Linked DNA regions of Nothobranchius furzeri. The protein of the gene in region 2 interacts with the protein of the main gene of each other region in a pairwise test. Links are inferred from orthologs where the notes say so. Each region holds a gene or a part of one and is shown on either strand. Other genes may lie near its edges.

The links. The genes of interacting proteins can lie anywhere in the genome.
Region 1: the proteins of sergef (region 2) and dph3 interact in binary tests that used the Homo sapiens proteins (3 or more experiments, as listed by UniProt). The link is inferred for Nothobranchius furzeri from reciprocal best matches to the Homo sapiens genes SERGEF and DPH3.

Annotation. Positions count from the first base shown.
Region 1 is NC_091747.1:68,461,440-68,469,255, forward strand, and holds dph3 (diphthamide biosynthesis protein 3), read right to left. Parts: upstream 3,963-7,816; 5' UTR 3,612-3,962; coding exon 3,504-3,611; intron 3,211-3,503; coding exon 3,136-3,210; intron 2,402-3,135; coding exon 2,333-2,401; 3' UTR 2,097-2,332; downstream 1-2,096.
Region 2 is NC_091744.1:64,859,314-64,866,531, forward strand, and holds the end of sergef (secretion-regulating guanine nucleotide exchange factor), read right to left. Parts: intron 4,467-7,218; exon of another isoform or gene 4,343-4,466; coding exon of another isoform or gene 4,228-4,342; intron 4,012-4,227; coding exon of another isoform or gene 3,956-4,011; intron 3,289-3,955; coding exon 3,104-3,288; 3' UTR 2,414-3,103; downstream 1-2,413. Other genes in the region: kcnc1b (potassium voltage-gated channel subfamily C member 1b), read left to right, coding at 4,228-4,342. UniProt on the Homo sapiens protein: Probable guanine nucleotide exchange factor (GEF), which may be involved in the secretion process.

The sequences.
Region 1 (7,816 bases), on a different chromosome or scaffold from region 2:
CACAAGGTAAATCCTTTATCCATCCATCTTATTACTGTAATCCATTTTATTTATTACTGTAATCCATCTTATTTATTACTGTAATCCTTATTTAGTAACCTAATCCATTTTATTTATTACTGTAATCCATTTTATTTATTACTGTAATCCATCTTATTTAGTAACCTAATCCATTTTATTTATTACTGTAATCCATTTTAGTAACCTAATCCATTTTATTTATTACAGTAATCCATCTATTTATTACTGTAATCATTATTTAGTAACCTAATCCATTTTATTTATTACTGTAATCCATTTTATTTATTACTGTAATCCATCTTATTTAGTAACCTAATCCATTTTATTTATTACTGTAATCCATTTTAGTAACCTAATCCATTTTATTTATTACTGTAATCCATTTTAGTAACCTAATCCATTTTATTTATTACAGTAATCCATCTATTTATTACTGTAATCCTTATTTAGTAACCTAATCCATTTTATTTATTACTGTAATCCATTTTATTTATTACTGTAATCGATTTTAGTAACCGAATCTATTTTATTTATTACTGTAATCCATTTTAGTAACCTAATCCATTTTATTTATTACAGTAATCCATCTATTTATTACTGTAATCCTTATTTAGTAACCTAATCCATCTTATTTATTACTGTAATCCATTTTATTTAGTAACCTAATCCATTTTATTTATTACTGTAATCCTTCTTATTTATTACTGTAATCCTTATTTAGTAACCTAATCCATTTTATTTATTACTGTAATCCATCTTATTTATTACTGTAATCCTTCTTATTTATTACTGTAATCCTTATTTAGTAACCTAATCCATTTTATTTATTACTGTAATCCATTTTAGTAACCTAATCCATCTTATTTATTACTGTAATCCATCTTATTTATTATTGTAAACCTTATTTAGTAACCTAATCCATTGTATTTATTACTGTAATCCATTTTATTTATTACTGTAATCCATCTTACTTATTATTGTAATTCATTTTATTTAGTAACCTAATCCATTTTATTTATTACTGTAATCCATCTTTTTTATTACTGTAATCCTTATTTAGTAACCTAATCCATCTTATTTATTACTGTAATCCATCTTATTTAGTAACCTAATCCATTTTATTTATTACTGTAATTTATTTAGTAACCTAATCCATTTTATTTATTACTGTAATCCATCTTATTTATTACTTTAATCCATTTTAGTAACCTAATTTTATTTATTACTGTAATCCATTTTATTTATTACTGTAATCCATTTTATTTATTAATCTAATCTGTTTTATTTATTAACCTAATCTTGATTATTTCATAACTTTTTCAGAAAGCATTTCCAAACTGCTTATAATTAATAAATGAGTCAAATAAGAAAACAAAAGTTAAGAAATAGTGAAAATACAAAATAATTTGCTGGGTGAAAAGTTATTGCTGGCGGGCCGGTTCTGGCTGACAGATGTGATTTGGGTGTCGGTTGTCTTATTTGTTGGGATGCACTTTAGAGCTTTATATGTGAGAAGAGGAGGATCTTAAAATCTATTCTGAATTTAACAGGTAGCCAATGTAGGGAAGCTAAGACAGGAGAGATATGATCTCTCTTTTAAATTCTCATCAGAACTCTAGCTGCAGCATTTTGGACAAGCTGAAGACTTTTAACTACATTCTGTGGACTTCCTGAGAGTAATGAATTACAGTAATCCAGACTCCAGACAAATTCATGCACTATAGTCTTGTCCACCAGTTCATGGATTCTGATGGCTTTACAGCCTGACAGGATACAGGAGAAAATACCATCACCTGAAAAGAGATCAAAGGAGCCCATTTTCACCTGAAGCAGCAGATTTCTGCTTTAGCTGAGTCACATTAAAATCTTCTGAAAATGATCAGCATCACATCAGCACACGCCCTGGGGTTCAGGTAGCATTTACAGAAGATTGTGACAGAAGATCAGAAATTTTTATGAGTTGAGTTTTACACAAACGAATGTATAAAGTCTAACAGCTATTCTTTTATTTATTGCACAAACAGCTGATGAGGAGGTAAAGCTGAACAGCACCAAAGAAAAAACCCGTCAGACTAGGCATGAACATAAATATTTAATAAAATAGTCAGTAAATCCACATCAACGAGAAGCTGAACATGCCAACTTTCTCTGCGGTAACTGAACCCATTCCTAGGGGGTGGGTTCTGGATCCTGGACGAGGAACTCCCAACAGCCGATCCATTAATTCACAGCATGAGTCTGACCTGTCCCAGCAGGGCACGGCACACACCAGGATCTTCTCAGAGATTAGAGCTTACACTGAAGTCCAGTTTCAGGACTGAGCCTGCTGCAGTTTGAGCTCCGGCGGAGCCTCGATCACTTCTCCTGACATGAATAGCTCCTGAAACACAAACAATGTTTTGGTCAGTCTGTCTGCAGGCTGACCAATAAGGTGAGACCGCCGACATTCTTGTTGCTAAACTGAACTGTTTAGATGGCTGCCGTCCTTAAACTCTGTTTGTGCGAGGGGCACACCGAGATAAAAGGGTGTGTGTGTGTGTGTGTGCAGAGTGGGGATGAGGGGCTGCCAAGGAGTAATCTCACCTAGGGCACCTGTGTATATTCTTCCTTATACACATCTTTACTGATGTTCCTTTAACAATAAAAACTGTTTTAAGTGTTTAGTAAATTATGTCCAGATGTCCATTTCATAGGTGTGCACACTAATCCACATCCAGGTGTTTTATTATGACATATAGAATAACACACCTGGATTTAACAAAGCAAATAAGTACGAGCCTCCAGTCGCCACTTGTCCCCTCCGTTCAACACCCCTGTGACTCACTGTTGCCCCACCTAGGTGAGCTGCTTCTTCTGATAGCTGAACTGAGCTTGAACCAGATGAAGCCACACTACACATTTGTTTTGCCCTGATACGGTGGACCCAGGTGATCAGGTGACATGGTGCATGCGGTTCTTAGCAAGCAACAGTTCTGACCCAGCTAAGGGTTGGTGCCAGGTGCAGCACTGGTTTGGAACCAAGAAACAGGCGCTTTGGTGCTGGAAAGCCAAAGAACCGGTTCTGGGTCAGGCTCTGGTACCAAACCAGCTTGGTGGTGTTGGGATGTTAGCTACCTTATCATAGATGACTTTAATGATGAGGGAACAGCTGGGACACATGGCCACCTCCTCCCCGTTCTCCAGGTCCTCCTTAAACACACACAGGTTCAGACTCACGCCACTCATGGTTCTGCTCTGCCCAAAACTACAAACCTCCAACCGGACTCAACGATCATCTGGTCTGAAATTCCAGCCGAGCAACAATTTAAACATAGATTTTTTTTACATATAAAGACAAAACTCACTATCAATCATGTTTAAGCACATAAAAACAAATGGGTTGTAACATAATCCCGCAAAACGTTTCAGCTGGTTCGGGTTAGACAGGTTCTAGTGTTGTGTGCAGCAGCTAGCTGTTAGCCGTTAGCTGCCAGTGAGCTCACTTTGGTTATGCTGAAGCGGTCTCCGCAGGGACACGGGAAGTAATACGTGTCGGTCTCCTCGTCTAACTCAAAGTCCTCGATCTCCACCTCATCATGAAACACTGACATGTTTCACCGAAGACACCATAAACTATCTGCTACAGGACAACCCCATGTTTCAAGCGAGCCTTCTTCTTCGGCGGTGCTTTACGGCTGCCTTCGAAGTAGCATAGTGCCACCTGCCGCACCAGATGGTCATTACGCCTAATGAAACCTTCTTCTTCTTCAAACTGTAAATACCACAGCATAAGTCTTCAAGTTTTTCCTCCATTCTCCATCCAACATTTTTTGTGTCCCTCTCTTCTTTTTCCCAGCACAGTTTTAATACATGATGGACTGGATGAGACATATTACTTCCCTTCAGGCTAGCCCACTACATACTTATAAGTTGAGTTCTTCTTAACTTCAAAGGCATCTCTCCCATTTCCACCTGTAGCTGTTACTGGGTTGATTTAAATACATCATTTATCATTATTGAGAACAATAGAGGGCTCACTATACTCCCCTGAGGAGTGCCGTTCTCAATAAAATATTTTTCTGACTAACTTTTCCCAATTTTGACTTGAATATTTCTATCTAACAAAAAATTTCTAATCCATCCAAACATTTGACCGGACGCTGTTATACTTAAACGTCGTTACTCCCAACACTGGGTTAGCTTCAGGCTAGCTTGTAGCTAGTTCGACCGGGTTTCGTCAGTTGATCCCAGCCTTACAGCCCCACCCTCAGCTCCACCTCTCTTCCCTTTTGTGGAATCGTCTGAGCTTGACGGAACCTGTGACACGGTCAAAATGGCGGTGGTGGCCACTTCCCATTTCTCTTCCAAAACGTGTTATTGGAGTCTATGGAAACCCATTGTCCAATATTTATATGGAAACCCATTGTCCAATATTTATATGTCGATGGTACTAATCTATACAGTATTTCTTCTACGTAACACGTCCTCCTCAATTCCCCTCATTTCCATCCCTCCTTACACCAACATAACCTTTAATACTAAAATCCTATATGGACTTCAACCATGTTTCTTATACACATAAATCTGGCTTCTTATTTAGTCCTTCAATAAGTCCTTTGAACTCTTGCACACTTGCTAAAAGACTTCTGGCATTCTGTCAGTTGATCTTCCTGCTTTACCTGATATTCTAGTTATGTTCCCAATGAATTATCTTTTAATGCAAGAACATTTTCTGCTCCTCTTATAATTATTTTTATTTTCTCTGATTTGTGTTTCACCTGATCTGTGCAATTGATAACATAAGCCATGAATAAGACAAGTTTACCAGCTGTCAGTCTTGTCTCACTCACCTCTCCTTGACTCATTTCATCAGCTGCTTTTAGCATTTGTGGGACACCATTTCCCTTTTGAGCTCCCTTCACTGTTTCTGCATAGCTCACATTACTGATTGATTTAATCTGTTGAACTTCCACCGCTCTTTTCCTTACTCCACAACCTCCGTATGTTACTCTATGTTGGCCTCCACAGTTGCAACATTTCTCTTGCACATTATCCTCGCATTTATCATATTTACTGTATGTTCTCCACCACATTTAGGGCACCTCAGTTTCCCTTTGCAAGCTGCAGCAATGTGACCATACCTCTGAAATTTGAAGCACCTTAATGGTGGCGGAACGTACGCTCTGACTGGGAAACTCAAACATCCAACCATGACGGATTTACTCTCCATCCTCTGACCATTCTCTGTTCTCATCAAATGTTTGATGTTATTCAACTCTCCTCCCTGAATACTTCTTTTGAGTTTTTCCAGATCTTCTTCAATCGGATTCCCCAACATCACTCCCCGTGTGAATCTGTTTTCTCCTAACACTTTTTTCTCACACACCACTTTCTTACATATATTGTCAATAGGCACTGCTTTGCATTTCTGTTCTTCAAATTATCAACAGGCTACCATCCCTCAATGTTTTCTCCACCTCCACATCTCCAATCTTCTTTTTCAACTCCCCCGACAACGCTATTGGACTGACTCTGATATTTTCATCTTCCTGCCTAAATTTCAAAATCATCTTAATCTCTTTCTTCTCAACTTTTCTTCGATCTACTCTGCTTTCCTGGAGGTGATGAGCCCAATCGTGCCCTTGCTGCCCTAGAGTTCTTGGGCCCTGGGCAATTGCCCAGCTGCCCATATGGTTAATCCGGCCTTGCCTCAGACCATGACACCCACGAGAAGGGGCGGCGTTAGGCCCGGCTACTTGGGCTCAAGCCCTGAATGTTTTATGAAAAGCCCCGGATCTGAAACGTGGAAGTAACATGCAGTACCAAAGCCCAACAGAGAGGGAGCAGCTGGCAGTAGTTTGTATACAGCCTGCCTGAGCCTCCACCACTGAAGAAGAAGCCCTTCAGCAGCCGGCTTCTTCTACACTCTCTGCCTGAAACGCATGAGTGAAGATGGACATAAGGACGTTTTTTTAGACCAAAAGTACGGCGACAGAACCCCAGCTTTGATGAGACTGGTGTTGACTCAGGTTTGTGAGTCTTATTTGAAAATATTTGTTGTGCTGCTGGTTTGCCTAAAGTTAGCTTATCAGGTAAAGTTGTTGGAGAAAGAAAGGGAATATTTACTATCATCTCACACTAAACACTAACAGGAACAATACTCTGCCCTGAAAATGCTTATTATGTAGCTTCAGATTAAAAATTATGTGGTACAAGACAAATATGACTAGTGCATGTCATGTGTGTGTGCGCGTGTGTTAAGCCCCGGATCTTCTTCAGTTCTGAATCCGCCCCTGCCCGCGAGGAAAGTTGACCATTGAGCAGGATTGATGGTTTATCTCTTGAGGTCCACGTGGCAGGGGTGAGGTGGTGCTCACCCCTGCCACGTGGACCTCAAGGGATAAACCATCAGCCCTGCTCAATGGTCAACTTTCCTGGCGGGGTCACACCCGTTAGGACAGTGGGAGGGTTAAGAAGCTTTACTTCTGGAATTTATTTATTATCATTGTCATTAAATAGAAGTTGGACAGATCAGAGAGAGCTTTAGAGAGAGCTTTATTGCCAGTGCTCCAGCGAACCAGAGCATAGGAACTTGACTTCACAGAACAGCCTGACCAAGGTTACACACACAAATATAGACAGAACAGATACAGGCGGACCACGAGAGCAGCCATAACGGCGCTTATTTCAGTTAGATGAAGAGGGGATTACATGAGGAGAGTTGGGGGAGGGAGAAAAAGGCAGACCAGAGTTACTCCCGGCAGGGAGTTGCTTTACTATGCAAAAAAACACCTCAACATATAAGCACGAACGTCACAGTTCACAACATGAGACTTCGGGGGGTGTGGGGGGGGGGGGGTGGAGGGGGCTGGGATCCTGAGTCCTCAGCGGGAGCAGCCCGTGTGGCGCTCAGCCAACTGTGTCCACAGGTGGGTGGGAGGTCACGGGAAAAGGCAGAGCACGTTGAGTTCCTGCATTCTGATGGCCTCGCTAGGCAGAGACCACAATCTGAAGGCGGGGGGGGGGGGGGGGGGGGGGGGGGGTTCACAGCATCTGTCTGCATTCCTTCCGTCGTGGGGGTTGTTGCACGCAACTCCAAGGCTGCTATGGTGTCAGATTGGATAACATGACTTGGTTTGGGTCAGGCAGAGATAATTTTCCTCTCTGCCTTAAAGTCTGTATTGATCATTCAAGTCCTCCCGTGAAGACAATTCAGGTATTAAACATCTCCACACCGTCCAGTGACCCCCTCTGAGATGACATCCATTTTGCGCACTAATTCTGGCAACGCAGCAAGGACATTGTCCAGCTTACGGTTCACCTCGAGTAACGTCCCAGTCTGTGAGGCGTCCGCCCTGGCGGTGCTTGCCATGGGTGCGGGTCGCACTCCAATCGCTCCTGACTTCCCGAATTTCCAGAAAACCAGATATCCTCCCACTCCAAACAAGAAATCCAGTGATCGTCAGACCAAATATCCACATATCTTCGACGTCCTCAATGGACAGCTGAGAAAGACAAACGATCCTCCAGACCTTCCAGGAATCGAGCGCATATCCCGCTGCGTGTGTCCCTTGAGGACAGGTGGGAGCCCCCTCCTCCGTTCTCATCGTGGAAAAGATTTTATCAATCGCGTTGAATGACCAATTAATTAAATCCATTTCTAAAAAATAGGGATTTCAGAGGAAATGCAGAGAAATGCAGAGAAGCGCTCTGTAGGCAGACGGGACTTGATTATGACTTGAAAATTCAAAGTTAAGGACTTGGACCTGACTTGGACTTTCACATCATTGACTTTGGACTCGACTTGGACTTGGTT
Region 2 (7,218 bases):
CGGGTGCACTAGTCTGTTTCTAACTGTTGTGTATGGTTTTGTTGGTGTGTTTATGTTGTGTTTTTTCATTGTTGCTATTATTTTTTCTGTTATGCCTTTGATGTATGGTAGGGTTATCACTGGTTTACACCATACACAACAGTTAGAAACAGACTAGTACACCCAAAAGACAAGATACCAGCTGGACTTAAATGTGGAGTCGTTTACGAAATCCCATGCAAACTCTGCAATAAAACACACATAGGAGAAACCGGACGCCAACTCAACACACGAACAATAGAACATAGAAAGGAGTGCGAGAAAGAGGCAAGTCGAAAACACACAAAAGCAGCAACACAAGAAGCAGAAAGCACAATAAAGAAGTCAGCCGTAACAGATCACTGCACAAGAGAAAACCATATAATGGACTGGGACAACACAAGGATCATAAACACCGAACAACAGAAATACAAAAGATGGATAAAGGAAGCTATAGAGATAAGGAGACGTGGATGCGGGGCCATGAACAGAGATGATGGAGTTTACTCATTGGATCGCTCATGGGACTGCATCATCGGAGAGGGGAGAGCGGGAAGCAGAGGGTGACAACGTCCTCTGCTGCCCACGGATAAACGGTGTAGGAAGTGACGCCGCCATCAGCGTCAGCTTTGAGGATGTTTTGCAGTCGGCAAACAAAACGTACGTCAGCAAGGTAAAGAAAAACTTATCTGTGTTTTAAAAAGAACCAAATATGGAATTAAAAAGCAAACAAATTAAAGGTGTTGGAGAGGCAGTGTCAAAGTTCAGACCTACGTTCGTTTACAATGATGTTGCACTGCCTTAACCAGTCCATTCAAGCTGAAAAATACTTCAGTGAGGCTGAATTACATTTCTGCAATGAAAAATGATGTGACAGGCCATCTGTTATAATACACACTTGATGAAGTTGTTACCAGCCAGTTATATGTACCGTTTGCCCCCTTAGATATGTGAAATCCACATTTGAAAACTGCATTTTTATTTACTCAGGTTATTTTTGTTGACATAGCAATTTGTTTTCTGATCTTAAACATTTAAAGATAACATATGTAATAATTTTACATCACAAAACAAACTCATGTCTCAATCATGTTGGTATGAGGTTATAATGAAACAGCCAGCTGGGGGTTGTTGGTTTATTTTCTTTTGAAAAGGTCAAAGAGGGACGTGGTCACTGTTTACAATCTATGAGCCCGCGGGGTTGCTGAGCTAACGCTCTTTTGCTATTCGACACTGGCCAGCAAAACTCTACAATGTTTTGCAAAGATCCTAAGCCAAAGACAGAAGCAACCCAGAAGTTATGTCTTGTACCCCTGAGAAGTCACGGCATCTTTTTGTTTTACTCTATAATCAGGTGAAGCAGGCTAGAGACTAATGTTGAGCTAACAATGCTAATGGTGAATTAGAAAAAAGAAGTTGGCCTTAAAAAAAATCTCTAGCTACTTTTTCAATTACCAACAACTCGATATTACAGTAAAATGTATGTATGAAATGAATAATGAGTCAATTGTGGCATTTTACTTCCTTTTAATGAGTTGTTTAGAAATAAAACTGCAAGCTAAAAGCAAAACAGAAAACAACCACACTTCCATTATTCCCCGAGACAAGCTACGGTAATCAGTGTAGTAAGTGTAGTAACACCCAAGAGTGCTAACACCAGATACGACAAACTATTTATCCATATACTGCATATGATTCGTCTTTGCTTGGTATCCAGAGTCTTCTGGCGCTGAGCCGTAACCGGCAACAGTCACGAAACTCACAAAATGAAAGTGAGTCACCCTGTGTGTTTTGAAAATAGGCTGCAGTAACCAAATTTGGCCACATGATGTCATTCTTACATATTGCACCTTTAAGTGTGACAAAACAAACAAATGGAAGAAATCTATAAGGGGGTAAATATTGTTTTTTCACAAAATTGTGAATAAGCCCTTTAAGCACAAATGCTGCAAACAGATTTATTGCTTATGTGAAAAAGTTTGTGAGAAGGGACCAACTTTTACCAAACAACTGCAAACACACTGCCAACAACTTCCTTAGATCTGTGTGCAGTTAGTGAAAGCAGATTTAAATCTGCCAGTAGAGCTGGGATCATGATGCTGGTCTTGTTCAACAGACAGAAAAAGACAAACAAACAAACAAGGAAACACAGCAGCTGTAATCGTGAACAAAACAAAGATGAAAACAAACTACAATGCAACTGATGTGTGCAGTTTAGTGAAATGTTAGTGAGTGTGTGTTTTGGACACAGTGCAGTTTGTGGTTAGTTATCCTAATAAGGTGTTCGGTGATCGTTTTGATTGATTTGATGTTCAGAGATTTTTTTGTGTGTCTTTTTTAACCAATACAGTTCAGACTTGTGCAATAAATAGTAACAAATAAAAAACAGAACTAATCAGCTTTCAGTGAGTGTTTTATTTTAACTAACCAAGGTCAAAGGGTATTTAGAATAAGTTAACTGATGTTTATATTTTCCACATTTTAAATGCAAAACATGTGCAACAAAAACTTAAAGCATGCAGACCTGAGGGTTTTAAATGCCTTTGGCCCATTAGGCACGGGGCTAGGAGTTCCAGCTGGTGCTGCTGATGTCTTCTCCTTAGAAACATGCATTTTTAGGTCAAATGTTGTCAATAGGTTCAACTAAAAGTCAAAATTAAACAAATGAATAGTATATAAGCTACAAACCCACAAATGTATGAACAAAGGATAACATGATTTGTGTGTTTAGACAATGAAATTAATAAAAAGAGAAACATCAGGAATAGGAGCAGAGACCGACAATTTCCTGTGACATAATATTGTACAAATATTAGAAGATGATGTTTTAGTATCAGTCTAGTCTTAAAACACAACAGTTTCATTATGAGACTTGATCAGCAGCAAAAAAAAAAAAAAAGGTGGCCAAACGCATGCTTTAACTGAACTCACCAAAGTATTTATGACACATACAGTGTGACAACTAGCTCAGGGTTGGAAGAACAGGGAGATGAACTGACAGCATGAGGAGCTTCTTAATTCCCATAATCATTGTGTTTCTGTGGTCTGATTGTGATTCTGTGCACTGTTCGTGCTGCAACGCTTCTCATGTGGAGTCCACAGTCTGTCTCAAACCAGTCGCCGCAGCGCACACTGCCATCGAATGTCCAGCTCCGCAGCCAATAAGAGCAGGTCTCAGGTCAGGAACGAGCTGAGGAGGATAGACGTCAGCCTGTGAACCGTCGCCGCACATTCCGTGTTCATTCCAACCCCACGAGAGAAGGCGCCCCCCTGAAAAGGAGAGTGGTCTCGGGTCAGTGACAGGACATATGAGAGGGGGCAGAGGTGTGTGAATGCGGGCTGAAATTAGCAACAAGCCGAAGGGCTGGGAACAAAAAGATTAATAATAAATAAATAAAACAGCAGCCACACAATCACACGCAGAGCTTCTCTGATCTCAACACCGACACTTGGCCGGCAACGAAGCATTCCTGCTCCTCACAGCTGGTGAGCTTGTTGGTGGGTGTGGTCAGGTCTGCATCACTGAGGAGACACGTGCCATGGCAACACAGTTACCTAATAGGTTCCATTTCCATGGCAACAGAAGCGAGCTTACTTGCTTTCTCAAGGGTAACTCATCTTCCTCATTCAGTAGTTGCGTGTCTTTGTGCCACGTTTTCACTTAATTCATCGAGTGTCGTTCTGTGTCTCTAGTTCGTCACCCACAAAATAATTTACTCTTTCAACAGTTTAAACACCAGGATTTCACACCAGCAGCTTGAGTCAGTGTGAAAACCTGAAACAGCTCACACATCACAGAAGCCCTTTTAGCTCTGTGTGTACGACGCAGCGTGGCTCCATAAGTGGACTTCAGCTGGCATGACTTTTATTATTAGTGATCTGGACGTGATAAAACACAGGGGGACTCATTTTGGTGCTGTGCTTAATTCATACTTACCGAGTATAATACCACACATCGGTGTTTCCATGGCAACAAAGTGCCAGTCCAATATTCTGCACAACAAAATGATAAAAAAATCTCAAACCACGAGTCATTTCCTGGTGAACCAATCCGGTGTCAAAATTCCTGACAATAAACAGCACAACAGTGACCCCCCCCCATAGCCTAAACTTGCATGAGTCTATAAATACAAGTAAATGAACCCTCGTGTGTTTTGTGCCTCCATTGTCCCAGTAAGTTTAAGTATTCACATGAAAATGTTTCCCCAGATTGGATGAGCTGTGCCCACAGAGTCTTTGGTCTATCTCCCACCTCTGGCCATCCAAGATGAATTTCACGCATGAGGACCTCTCGCCCAGGTGCGAACGGGCACAGGCCGAGTGAGCAACAGATATCATAACCAGCGCTCAATGTTCTGTATTCTTTACTGCCTGACCTACTTCAGCACCAGAAATAGCAACACTCAGGTCTTTGCTTCCAATCCTGTTTTGCTATTTCACTGCTCCTGCCACCAGTCGAGACAAGAGGAGAGAAAAGGAAAAGAGAGGAGAGCGTGACAGTGGAGCGAAGTGATGGGAGGTTCACACATGCCACTTCCTCATCCTTAAAATGAACATTAAAGAGCACAAGATGGTGCTTTCAGACTTCTTCTGTTATGATGGACAATCATTAGTTCCCTGCATGTCCATTATGTTTAACAGGTCATCAGAGGATGGAAGGCGAGTGGCGTGTATGCTTGTAGCACCAGCAATGTTAAAAGTTTCTCTCTCTAGATGGAAGTCTGCACTTGCATTTTAGTATTCATCTGTGGTATTTTTATTCATGCTGATGTAAAAATCTGGAGCAGTGTTCAAAATTTAATGTGAGAATTTTAACTCCAAAGTGTCTCATAATTGCTAGATGGAAACTATGGAAAAACCCCAGCAGGATTCTGATCAGAAGCTCAGATGTGTCTGTCTTTAATCACCGTTTATGACTGGAGTGTATTTATTACATTTTTAAGTGGATTGAACTTGCTCTCATATCATCCCACTGAAGAAAAGTGGTTCCTGTAAATGTGGTAATTTAGCTCCTTTAGAGCCTTGTTCTGGGAATCATCTGTCAGCGATATCCATCTCTCCACACTAATTACTCTTGATGAAGAACCACAGAGCAAAAAGCGGACCTTAAAACTTCTCAGCAGATTAATTTATTACACAGTGGTTTAATTCTGAAGCCTTTGATATTCCCATTACAGATGAATAAGATGGGCGAGGTGGTGAAAGTTGGATATGCGTCTTCATTATTTCTTTAAGCAGTCAGACCAAAAGCGACATCTCGCATTTCAGTCACTTACGCTTACAGAAACCAATGGACCTCTTTCCAGACATGAGATACGTAACATTAATGATGTTTTATCAGTTTGTTACCATGATGGCCTTCAGTCATTCAGACACTGATCTTGTTTGCAGTAATGCTCCACACAGAATCGTTCACCTCAGTCAATTACAGAAGGGTCCATGGTGCAGGTAGTATTTATGATCTCCAATAGGCTGGGAAGTATGATAAAGTATAAGATGAGAACATTACTTTTCTAACATTGAAGTAGGCCTGCTCGATTATAGCAAAAATTATAATTATTTTGACTGAAATTTAGATTTTGATTATTTACGACAATCTTAAATTAACGTTCATATACACGGTGCAAACATTTACAATATAAAAATAAAGAGAAAAACAAACATCTTATGTTGTAGTGAACTTCTACAACCTCCTGCATAATAATTATCTAGTGTGCAGTAGCACGATGCAACGTGTCGCTCAAATAGATGAAGTATTATTTTCCAGTCTGCAAAATAGGTGTGGCGTGAAAGCGCATGAAGACAGTCTAATGTGTCTTATGCTCATAGCATGAGAGTTTGCAGCCCAACAATGAATCCATTTCAGATATGGCTCGCTGTACATTGAATTTATTTTGCTTATGAACACAGTTTTTTTAAAGAAGAAAGAAAACAATCTTTTATATAGCGCCTCTCACGATAAAAAACATGAAGCGCTTCACAAGAACAAATTTTTCAAAAATAAAAAAGATTTTTTTTTAAAGATTGAAAGTTATCATAAAGAAAAAAAATTGTGATTAAAAATGTAAGGAAAGAGAACATGAATAAGAAAGAGGTATTAGTAGCAGAAAAAGCATGGTGATGAAAGTTACCCAAAAACCAGCTTGAACAGATGAGTTTTCAGCTGCTTTTTAAAGGAGACCACCAAGTCCACTGATCTCAGGCTCAGGGGGAGAGAGTTCCAGAGTCTGGGGGCCACAGCAGCAGATGATCTGTCACCTTTGGTCTTTAGCCTGGTGCTGCACAACCAGTAGGCTTTGGTCACTGGACCTCAGGGACCTGCTGGGGGTGTAGGGACTGACAAGATCACCAATGTAAGATGGTGCTTGTCCATGTAAGGCCCTATAGACCAGAACCAGGATCTTGAAATGAACCCTGAAGTTGACTGGCAGCCAGTGAAGCTGGAGGAGAAGCGCGGTGATGTGGGTGTACTTTGACAATATAGTCAGAAGCTCAAGACAAGCATTGTGAACCTCCTGTAGATGGTTCAGGGAGGTTTTGTTCAGAAAAGTGAACAGCAAGTTGCAGTAGTCTAAGCGTGAGGAGATGAAGGTGTGAGTTAGATCGCTAAGAAAGGTTTAAGATTGGTCAGTCAACGTAACGTGGTTACGCTTCACATTAGTACTTAATTCTCTTTCCGGAAGGACAGTCTGTAGCACAGGATGTGTTGTTAGCTAATCCACATGGAATTTAGATGACAAAGTTTTACAGAAAGTAGCTATGGGTCCTCAGAAATATCACTAAATTGTTCGCTAGGCACTTTTGGGAAAAATAACTCACAAAGGGTGAGCAAATAAGTGGATCCTTTTGTTAATCGTTCAAAACCCATATCACATTGGGATTAAAATTTGATTAATCAACCAGCTCTACATTTAGGTTAAATGATCAATCATTGTTTAAAAAAATAACATTAATTATTATTATTATTATTATTATTATTATTATTATTATTATTATTCCCATGGGCTCACCATCGTGGGAGGGGCCAAAGGGGTCGGGTGCAGTGTGTGACAGGTGATAGTCGAGGGAGGGGACCATGGCGGTCTGATCCTCGGCTACAGAAGCTGGCTCTTGGCACATGGAATGTCATCTCTCTGGTGGGGAAGGAGCCTGAGTTGGTGTGTGAGGTTTAGAGGTTCCGACTAGATATAGTCGGACTCA